Lepisosteus oculatus: one gene and its partners. The protein of the gene in region 2 interacts with the protein of the main gene of each other region in a pairwise test. Links are inferred from orthologs where the notes say so. Each region holds a gene or a part of one and is shown on either strand. Other genes may lie near its edges. The genes, in order: receptor-type tyrosine-protein phosphatase delta, liprin-alpha-1 and ccnh.

Region 1 (3,755 bases), on a different chromosome or scaffold from region 2:
CTTCCATCATTCATTTACAGAAATGCTTTCATTGAGTGGAACATATCCCCATTAAAGAAGAAGCATATCATTTTTAACCACCAAAGATTTAATTAGTGATTTTGTTTTCTTGCAAAACTTCAGTTGTTTATAATATTGTATGAAAGGTCTACTGATAGGTCCCATTTATTTTTGTAGTTGTAAACAAGCTAGCTCTGTTGCTGTATTTTAAAATACTTCTGTTTTTTAAAGTAAACGGAGCCATCTCTTTCAAGTCCTAGATTAGCATTTATTATCCACAAATGCACCTAATCCTTGAGGTAAAAACATGTATGCTAAAATCAAATTAATTTTCTTTGTAAGCTTAACAAAGATTCCTATCTGACAAATACAGTATCTTCATCACAAGGCCAGCTTGTTATATAGGTTACAGTTTCCATTTCCCTCGAGAATTACAGTACTGTACTCCAAAGGTTTTGCTAAAACATATTTGATGGAAAACAGTGTTTTCTCTAAAGTGTAAAGGGAAAACAGCTGCATAGAAACAAAACTAAAAAATAAAAAAATAAAAATAAATCACATAACGTGACTGGGAATTAGTATAGTATACTATGGTATAGTAATTAGAATTTAGCAGAGTTAACACACATGCAGAAACTATAGTTATAGCTGTTTTGAACTTAAAGGTCACAGTGTCAATAGCAGATAACATGTCTCATTAAATAATTAAATCATGATTATTTCAGAGAATCTCAAATTATAGTAAAGATTGCCACTATATACACACACACATTTGGCTTCATCAACAAGTGAGGTATGGTTATTGTAGACTTCAATCAGGTGAAAAGTGTCTCCTGTGGTGTGTGGTGTAAAAAGGAAATGTCCATTTCTGAGCTAAAGTGGCTCATTGAGCCAGAGCTCATCCTGGTTTCTGTCGCTTTAAGCAAATTAGGGAGCATGTGACTTCCCTGGATGGGATGCTGGTCCATCACATGGATACCCCCAGCAATGCTGGCTCCCGGTTATACTACTGGGTGGACTGGAGCAAATAGGGTACCTCTCTTAAGGTACAGGTACCTGTACAACAGCAGTGTCTGCAGCAGAGACTTGAACCCACAAACTGTCAACTATGAGTCCAAAGGATTACCTACTACACTACGTCACCACCTGGTGTGAGACATTGCCAAATCTAAGAATGTGAAAATGTGAAACAGTGAATTAAAAAAAATGCAATAGTTATAAGGAAACAGAAGGGGCCCCATGATTTTGCAACATTGTTTACATCTTCATCACATGAGTATACAGTAAGACACCCTCCCATGACTGAAACACAGGCTGTCAACTCACTTGGCTGGCCTGTCCAAGAGGACACACTGAGGCAAGTCCTAGAAAAGTTTCCCTACATCTACATTCTACAGTAAAGTGAAGGGCTAAAGCCTCTGGAGAAGACAAAACAACTTAAATTCAACCAAAATACTTCAGCTTTCAAAAACAAAAGCAATAGGATAGGAAAATAACAGGTTTAAGTCACAAAACTACTATTATTAAGTGCAAGACAAACCTACATTCTTTTCTTATTCCATCAGACTTGGCAATACATTTATTTTGCAGCATCAAAATAAAAAGGCTAAATTCAATTATGTTTTTTTTTTTCCAATTGTATGGACATTGAAAATAATGTATCCATTACAGAAATGGACTTTTTAGAGACAGCATATTCTATTAGTTACAGATTTACAGGAAAACATGACTATAAATATTTTATTAGATGGCATCATGATAATTAGCAGGCATTTTTATAAGAACATATTGCACCTCCAAGCCATTATCACCAACCACAATTTTAAATCAACGTTTCGAAAATGAGCCATGTATTTGCTGGATGTGGCTTAAAAATATCCCACCTCAGCAATTCCTTACAACTGAGCCAACACAAACTCATAATTGAATACTTCCCACAGTCAGTCTATGTAATGCCATTATATAGCACTAGGAACCACTGCAACTAAAAAACACAATGCAAGTACAACTCCAATAGCTACTTACTATACACCCAGTTAGATGGTTTCAAATGCCTTGGAAACTGGAATTTAACAACAAAAAAGGCAATGATAAGCAACTATTTAAGAATATACATAACAAAAACATATCAACACATACATTTATTCATGGAAACCAATATTTATATGACTTTACATAACACAATTGAAATGATTACTTACTAAGACATCCAGTATAAATCTCTTTGGAAATCCAGAGGAGTCTTATCTTTCTTCTCCCCAGTCAGAAACAGCAATGCTTTCTTATTCCAGACACAGGCCCCAAATGAACTGCAAAAGAGAATACATCACACAGGCACATCAGCCCCATTAATATATCTGGGGTTCCCCCCAAAAAGTGTAATTGTTTCAGAGAGAAGAAGTAAAATATGCATTCATTGTTAAGTTATCTGCAAGGGTAGTTGGTACCTGCTCTCTCTCTCTCTCTCTTGCTGTAGCTGGAGACAATGAGAGCGGTAATGAGAAAGACAGAAAAGTGAGAGCTAAGCTTTCTTTAGAGAGACAGTGCTGCTGTCAAATTGTACCACACACTGCTGCTGGCGATGTAAGGAGAGCGAGAGGCACAGCGAATGCGAGCAAGGGAGAGAGAGAGACCGAGCGAGAAATAGATGAGATGCTTTCACACACCTGCATTTCCTTAACGAGCCACTTGATGGCCGGCAGGAAGAGCATTTTTGCTGTTCCTTTCCCTTTGACACCGACGCTGTCGATGATTAGCAGAAGAATTAGTTGTTTCCAGATTGCTGTGTCAAGCTGCAATCCATTACAACTAGATTAGTTGCGCTGATAAAATGTAGAACACAGCACCTCGGTAGCATGTAGCTTCCGAAATGCTGACATTTAGCTGATTTTCAAGTTGCAAAAGTATTGAAGGTTCCAATCTTTGCGCTTGTTAGAAGAATGGAGAGAGAACCTGCTGGCATTAATACCTCCGGCAGCAGGGGAAACTTCATCTCAAGAAAATGACTGTTTTGCATATGTGAAAGTTTTTTTTTTCTAGTATTGTGAATGTATGTATTTGTTCTGCATTCGTGACGGCGCCACTGTGCTTACTGCTAACCAGTTAAATGCGAATAAGAAAATTAGGAGGGATGGTACCCGCAGTGTATTCTAACTACTGGATAACAAACCTGAAGATCCGCTTTCGGGCAGTACGTCTGAGATGGGTGTTTTTCAATTAAGCAAAGCCAGTTTGTGTACAGTATGTGTGTGTTTGGTGTACTGCAAAATAAGTGTAAAGCAAACACTTCATCACGAACTGTAAGATCGTAAGAATCACATCATCTGAATCGCGAAATCACGTTGTACTTGGTACAGTGTGGGCATTGTACATACGATTCAATTTGAAAAAGTGTTACTTTCGCTTACTGAATTCGTTTTTAACCGACTTTTTAAAACTGCATATCAGTCTTTTTATTTGATCCAGAAGGAAATTAATTCAATTTCAGTGAGGCTCGGCTACAAAAGTCGACCCTCACCGATCAATTTACAGACTGCCAATTTAAAGCTTTCACACAATCCTTGAGACAGAATAGTGTTTACATTTCAAAATATTCTTAAGGTAATTATTTTTGTGTATTGAGATGAGATTTTTACTAAAGAATTAATGATACAGGTTCCTTATTTAATTGTATAGCATCTTGTCAATTAGTATTTCGCCCTAGTTTGCTCAAATTACTCCTCTTTAGTTTGAGTAGCAGCAGAAAGTGATTATTT
Region 2 (3,755 bases):
CAGTCAAGCTCCAGACAAAATGTGGGATAAAAAAAAAACAGTAAACAATAGAGCAATGCCTTTTAAAATCCCTAGTTGAAGACATTCATTCAGTGCTAAAGGCACTTGCTTTTTATGGCTTGCATGTCAGAAACCATTGTGTTCAGCTCAGTGCTCCTTACAACCAAATGTCCAACACTGGGCAATTTGTCCTCAGGAAGACGTTTATGGCCATCAGATATAGAGCTCCTAATATTAAAGGCATTTAGTTTTCGTTTATCAAATGCACTGTCAAAAATAGAAATCAGAATAATATCCCTTTACAACATAGCACTTACACAAGAGTCAATCCCACTTACTTGCATGTCAACATTCTTCTATTGGTTTAATGATAGCAGCTCTTTCAACAATTTGCAGTTTAATTGTACTTAACTAAGGAGTATGGGTGTTTTTATTCAGAAAACATGTTCTGATTACAAAGATACACAGCGTGGGGCAAAGGTTAATATTATCTACTTATTAGCTATTGAACGGGTAGGTCTGAGGACACACAGACAGGAACAAAGTACACCCATAAATGTCAATCAATTTGTGAGGAAAATTAAAAAGGACAATCTATCTGGACAATACTTTTTAGGCACTTCAATATCTGTTATCAATAAGTTATTTTTTAGTTTTCCATTGACACAGAGTGCTGTATCCATTTAAACTGATAATGTGGAAGATCTGTGGTCCTGGAAATTATCTTAAATGCATTACTGACTGCATAAAGAATGCCTGGAGTGACTTAGAAATGCAGGCTTTCAAGCTTAATGTACTGGGATAATTCATGATCATTCACTTAGGACACACGCTTTAAAGAGATACATACTTCTGTCTATTGGTTGCTCAAAATGAAGTTTATGTCTTACAAATAAATCATCAGAAAGGACATCAGAGTAATAAACAGGAAAAAACCCTCTGACTTAAAATATTTGGTTCTTCTACTGGGAAGAAAATAAATTGAGCGCAGAATTTAAATAATCACGTTGGTCTTCTCTTCATAAACTCACAATGTGTCACCACAGGGAAATATTTTCAGCTCGAGCAGACTCAATGTTTACGAATTCCAACCCCCTGAAAAACAACCAAGATCCTTCCTGTGCAGTATTGGTACAGCATACGCTGGATAGAACTAAGCTGCCAATTCTCCTATTCTAATTTCGTTTTTATAAAGTATTGGCCTTTATTGTGAAAGAAAACCAATTTAAATGTAAAAAATGGAATTCAAATGAAACCAGTTTTACTGTATATTAAACTCGTTTAAAAAAAGCGGAGAGGGTCTTTTTATATAGGTACATTATTCGGTCTAAAAATGATGCTCTGCACCCTTTATGATAAAAATAAGCGGAGGCGGCTACCTGTCAGAGCAGATGTGTTCGTCTGGAGTAACAGAATGAAGGAAAAGCTGTAACAGTTTTGTGAAAAGCGCTTATTCAACAGTTTACTGTGCGCCAGTGACGCACTGTGTGTGTGTATTGATTAGTTCCATTCGCGAGCCAGAGGCCCAGTAGGTAACCAAGCAATTAAGTTTTCCACTGCCCTCTTAGAGGTGTCTGCTCATTTAAAGGCTTTGTACAGCACGATAATGGAGCTGCGTGATCTCGAAGCCTTACATAAAGAAAGCTAACTCACCTTGCATCAGACACTGTATTTGCAAATTCATAAACAATTTAAATAAATAAAAAACTTAGAAAAAGTAACCCTCTGTTGTTGCAAGTGTGCAGGCGTTACAGTCGGATGCTTAGCTAAAACAAAGGAACACTTTTCAATAGAAAACGAGGGGGTTAAGAAACCGCTGTCTCCCTCCATATTTATAAATACACAAAGAACACTGTTTACCTTGCCAGAGAGGAGGAAATATCTTCTGTCAATTCCACTTTCCCCTCTTGTATGAGCTTGTTAATACAATCCTTTATGATTATTGTTATTAGCAGCTTTTTAAAAAACGAAAAACAATATTTAAAGTGCTATCAGGTATCCTCCAAGCCATCCAACAGTAATAAATCCATCAAAGACGTAAAATAAAATATTAAACAGCTACCCAGATGGCAAAAAAGAAAATCCCAAAGGCCCGAAAGAGCGAAAGAGACTTGGATTCCCGTGACTTCCTGAATTAATGATGTATTTTAAGAACTACGAGCGCTAAAAAACAACTAAGTTACCTTATTAAGGTAAAATATAACGATCACAGCCAATCATAATAACCTCCTACAAATACCCACAGTGTTAGTGGGATAATAATATCAAACGCTCCTGGAAAACAGATGTAAACTAAGGCAATCCTGCAATTTTTATCTTCTTTAGCTGCAACCAGCGATCGGGCCCGCAACGCGTTATAATCCAGTTTCTATTAACCAGGGAGCCATCGCAAACAGCTAGGAGGACGCCGGACAGAAAACATCGAATTGGTACAGTATTTCCTCTTCGCTGCTTCTCTGTTGTCGAGGGTCTCTCCTTTCAGCCGCGTCACCAGCCCAGAAGAAAAGCAGACTCCTTTTCCAAGGGATCCGAGGAGCAGTGAGAAGCAGAGGGGATACTTGAAACTCCTTAGTCGATAAAAATCCCAATTTATCCTCAGTTCGGAAATACAGATGTCCCGGATTCCTTTGTTTCCGGGATGCCCGAGGCCGAAGTCATCCAGCGCCCGTTAATGTAACAGGGTTCAACCCCGGTTTGGTCGTCCTCTTCTGTCAGAACTACTTCTCTCCCTTTCCGTGCTGGAGCCTCGGCTCTCGTTATCTCCAGTTTCCTGTTCTCCAATAAATCACTGCGTGACGTTCCCAACGTGCACTGCGCGCTGGGAAGTATCCACTTCCAAACTGCAGCGCCCTCTGAGGTTATCCCCGGAATTAAATACGGGAATACCCCCTCCAAAATCAAGTGAAGTCAGGTAAACTGCCCCCAATTGACTACTAGTAACCAATTGAGTTAGATGGGCCTAATGGCCTGATTTTGTTTGTAACCTTTTTTTTTATTTTCTTACTAAAATCGACTAAAATGTTTATTTCCTTCCTAAAATCTGCCTCACAGTCTCACATTCATGCAGCCATTGGAGATGTACTGTATGGTCGGAGCCAAAAGGGCTTTTTTAAAATTATGCCCACATTTTTCCATATACTGTACCAGCCTCTAACCATCGTGCGTGAATAATTAAAGACTATACTGACGTTTCTTTGTCAAAGAGAAATGTGCCCACATGAGACTGAAGACAGGAAGGGTTGAAAAAGATGAAAATGTCAATCAATTGTTTAAGATGCAAGCCTTTATTTTATGGCTTTGTCTGGGGTGTGTTTTTAGCTGTTATATTCTTACATGGCCAGAAGTTATTTAATAAGAAACAATATGTTTGAAATCAATCTTTATACCATAAAGCACTCAGATTACTAATACTACTGTTTCCTGTTTCATTTAAATAATTTACCATTACCTGACCATATTGACACCCCTAGTCATTTCACTGACCCCAGCCTTTCCCCCTGCCTTGAGGGACCTATCACTCTAAATTACTGTAATTAGTCATGAACATCCTTTCTGAATAGATGGAGGTCAAAGGTTAAGCTCTCCACACCTCGTTGTGTTCTATTTTCCTTTCTTTTCCCAATTTACCAGGATAATATAACGGCCTTAAAGCCCTCTGGTGCATCCACAAAGTGACAATAACTGCAGTATGGTTGTGGGAAAGATGGGACTTCAGTTGTGCTTTTAACTGGGAGTGCATGGATTTCTGGGAAGTG
Region 3 (3,755 bases), on a different chromosome or scaffold from region 2:
TTACCCTTAATGATTTTTCTTTATTTTTTTTCTTGTGAAAAAGTTTTTCATCATCTTTAAGCGTGAGACTTTCATATCTAATTTAAATATACGAAACAATGCAGTTTACAGTTGATGTGATATCTACTTATTACAAATTATTACAAATTGTTGAACAATACTATAGAAGGACAAATCCAAAGTACTCACATGATTATCCGTGGATGGTACTCCATTACTGAATTATTCAAGTAAAATCTCCTGAAATACATACTTGCTGTGCCCTAAGTACAAAAAACGAAAGCAATTATTAAAAAACTTTCCCGACAGACACTGTTATTAAGATGTTATAGATGAAAATCTTTAGTCACCGCTGCATTGCTAATTTATATCACACCTTAAATATTAATTTTGTAAAGGTAATGAACAAAATCTGAAACTTTAAAACAAGCTACTTGCTGGGCTGCAACACCATTTTAATATAACATTCTAACCCTATATGTTTTTTTTAAATAACTTCACTGCAGCTGTACTTCAATACAATAATTCAGCCCTGTACTGCGGCTACTGTTAGCTGAAGTACTACAGTATATTACATGGAAGTTTGGAATATGTAGGAATTACCACAACAGATTTTGGCATTGCTGGCTTAAAAAATGCACAGAAGTCCAGAAGCCTCTTCTCATAATGCTTAAATATCACATCTTCCTCCCTGGGATCCAGAAATAAGGATTCATTTATTCCAGCCTACAGACAAAACAGAACACAGATTTAGAAAGACACCGTGTAATGCAAATCAATTTGCCATTACATAGAACCTAAATCCACACATGCTGTGCTTTCAGCATCAATGAAGTACATTCTTCAAGCAAACCACAATGACATTGTTCTGCAGGTACCTGCAGCTTCATCTTCACCCAAGACAGCAACAGGCCTTTATTTAACCAGCTAATGCAGCTGAGAACAAATTCTAATTCATAATAACCTAAAAAACAAGCTTATCGCATCGCAGAAAAAGAAAATACTCAATGATTACTGACAGGTCAAATCTGTGTTAAGAAGTGCAAATATCGGGCAGAAAACATTAAATCATACAACCTAGACGGTTGTGGTTTGTAGTTTCAGCTTGTTCTGCAGGTTGTTCCACTTATGCAGAGGAAAACTGAATCAACCTGCGAGGATCTATTCTGACCTGAACACAGGCACACATTGGCTATCTTGTGCAGGCTTAACTGACGTCTTTAAGATGAATTAAATAAAAAGAAAAGCTTTACTGAGCACAGCAGGCACGTTCTTTATATTTTCATCATATTGTGGTATCATATTGAGTCTTAAACACCCAATGTAGGACTCATGGTACTGAGACTTTGGGACACGACAGGACTCAAGCTGCACCATGTGGAGAGAGGGGCATTTCTCTGAGGACATAAAGATCAATGTCAGCGACCACCTGCAGCTGGTCATAACTAGAGCAAACATGAGGAAAGTACTTTGCTCTTGGACGAAGATAATTACAAGTCATTGCAATGGCAAGTATTGAAAACCCTCAAAGACATTGACAAGTTCAACTCAGCAGATGTCTTCAGAATGAATGGTGAACCACAAAGCAGGGAGAAAACGTGGAAGCGCATTTACACCAAAAACAGTAGGAACTTCTTTACCTTCGTTAGTTCCATAGACTGTGGGAGTATAGAACAAGCTACGGTTATTAAAGCCAATACTTTGAATTAACCTGTTTGTTCCTTACAAGCTCTTTAAACAGCTGGGACTTAATGGTGCCATACAATGCTCTACAAAGATACTAAATTAAGAGCTGCCACAGGTGTTGGTGAGTTTATTTCAACGATATAATCAGATTCATTTAATACACATTTGTCATTCATAATGCATTTTTACCTTTCCACTCGCTGTGACCTTTGATACGAATTTCTTATTGGCTTGATATCTCAGCTTGTCCATCGCTTCTTCATTCTGGAAAGTCCAGTACTTTTTCTGAGAGCTGTTGTGATACATTTCCTATAAGGTATATAAACACAGTAGGCAACGGGTACGATGGAGATCGAAAAACAAACGGCAGAACAATTTTTGACTCCAACTTTGTAAAGGAGTAGCTAAAGGCAGACAATCACGGATTTAAACTTGAGAAGGTGCGTTGTTCATCACCACAGTACGTCGTTAAGGAAATAATGGCGTGTCGTATTCCTTTTAATTTACTTAAACTGAGAACTATAAGTAAAGTCCGTTAACATTTTAACTGATGTGTTCTTCCTCGTTGCCCTTGCAGACCAATAAAAACATAAAGCTTATTGACCGCTTCTCACCAAATAGCAAGAGTACAGAACTCTAGAAATATTTCAATGCCTAGATTGAAGGCATGTCAAAAAAGACCTTCAAAACAAAAAGCCCCAACAGGACAACTATTCAATGTTATCAGTTCTGCTGTACAAATTAATGCGTATCATTGCATTATATATAAATATTAATTCAACAAAGTATCATGTCCTACGTACTGGATCACTGCGATGTTAGTACTACATTTTCCATATGCATCGCTTAAAACCTTAAATTTTAATAACAATAAGCCTTATTAAAACTATCATGCGTGGAATTCATTTTAGGAAAAACACCACAGTGCATTAATTTCCGAAGACGAGAATCTTTTGTCTACTTTGCTTTCGCAGCTATAGTTAAAAATCCAAAAGCGTTTACCTTTTATAATTGTATCAATGGCGACGTGAACTTTGATTTGCGCTTCCTTTTTTAACTAACAAAAATATCAGTATAATGTTTCTAGTATAAAAAACTCAGCAACTAAACTACATCAAACCTAAGAAAAACTCCCACTAACTCGTCAGGCACAACTACAGGCAACGTTTGGGTCCTTCCAGTTATGATGACGTATTCAGTAGTACCGTAGAAATCCGAGTACAGCCGCACACCCATCTGCGCTACAAAATACTGTTTATCTTACGTTGTTTATACTGAAGAATGGGTTCTAATGTTTTTTTTAATCATGTTACAGATTTTATATGAACATATCCGGAGAGTTAACATTATTGTAATGTTACTTATCTGCTACTTTGCTTAGTTTTACCTAGATATGGAGATTTCCTGGTTATGGAGATAGTGGCCGGGGTGGAAAGTTTAGTGTTGAACAACGAATAGGTGGCGATTCCTACACAAAGGGTTGTAGGGATCTGGAACAAGCTGTCCAGCCCCGTTATCAAAGCTGATACCCTGGCTTCTGTAAAGAAACGGGTGAACTTTTCAGTCGGTTAGCTGCTGAAAACCAAATGAGCTAGAGAAGATGCATGTCCCACTCTGTTATAGCCTTATGAAATGCGAAATGGAGATTACAACAGCATGTGATGAAGAGTGAAATATACAGTTAAAACTCAGTATATTATTAGACATAATTTCCATTTCATGCATTTTATCTAGACTGTAGTATTAGTGCAAAACCATATATTTTAAGGTTGTTGACACTGCACTGCAGGGTATCATAGTTCCAAATACCAATTCAGTTATTCTCAATATACAGAGCATACTCCTGACCTGTACTGTGCTGTCCAATTTTGTGAAATTACAAAATGATCCAACGAAATGTTTTAAACTTAATAGGGGGTGGCATCGCTGCCTCTCTGCACTGGGGCCCTGGGGTGCTGTCTGTGTGGAGTTTGTATGTTCTCTGCTTGTTCGCGTGGGTCCAAAAGCATACTGGTAGGTTAATATGCATCTGGGAAAACAGGCCCTGGTGTGAGTGTGTGTCTTTGTGC

What was found.
Region 1: the proteins of liprin-alpha-1 (region 2) and receptor-type tyrosine-protein phosphatase delta interact in a two-hybrid assay, tested with the Homo sapiens proteins (2 studies listed by BioGRID). The link is inferred for Lepisosteus oculatus from reciprocal best matches to the Homo sapiens genes PPFIA1 and PTPRD.
Region 3: the proteins of liprin-alpha-1 (region 2) and ccnh interact in binary tests that used the Homo sapiens proteins (3 or more experiments, as listed by UniProt). The link is inferred for Lepisosteus oculatus from reciprocal best matches to the Homo sapiens genes PPFIA1 and CCNH.

What each region holds. Positions count from the first base shown.
Region 1 is NC_090696.1:70,733,209-70,736,963, reverse strand, and holds the start of receptor-type tyrosine-protein phosphatase delta, read right to left. Parts: upstream 2,594-3,755; 5' UTR 2,448-2,593; intron 2,310-2,447; 5' UTR 2,202-2,309; intron 2,063-2,201; 5' UTR 2,026-2,062; intron 1-2,025.
Region 2 is NC_090716.1:5,716,547-5,720,301, reverse strand, and holds the start of liprin-alpha-1, read right to left. Parts: upstream 2,792-3,755; 5' UTR 1,861-2,791; intron 1-1,860. UniProt on the Homo sapiens protein: May regulate the disassembly of focal adhesions. May localize receptor-like tyrosine phosphatases type 2A at specific sites on the plasma membrane, possibly regulating their interaction with the extracellular environment and their association with substrates.
Region 3 is NC_090698.1:71,955,925-71,959,679, forward strand, and holds the start of ccnh (cyclin-H), read right to left. Parts: upstream 2,857-3,755; 5' UTR 2,689-2,856; intron 1,996-2,688; 5' UTR 1,993-1,995; coding exon 1,876-1,992; intron 727-1,875; coding exon 604-726; intron 264-603; coding exon 190-263; intron 1-189. UniProt on the Homo sapiens protein: Regulates CDK7, the catalytic subunit of the CDK-activating kinase (CAK) enzymatic complex. CAK activates the cyclin-associated kinases CDK1, CDK2, CDK4 and CDK6 by threonine phosphorylation.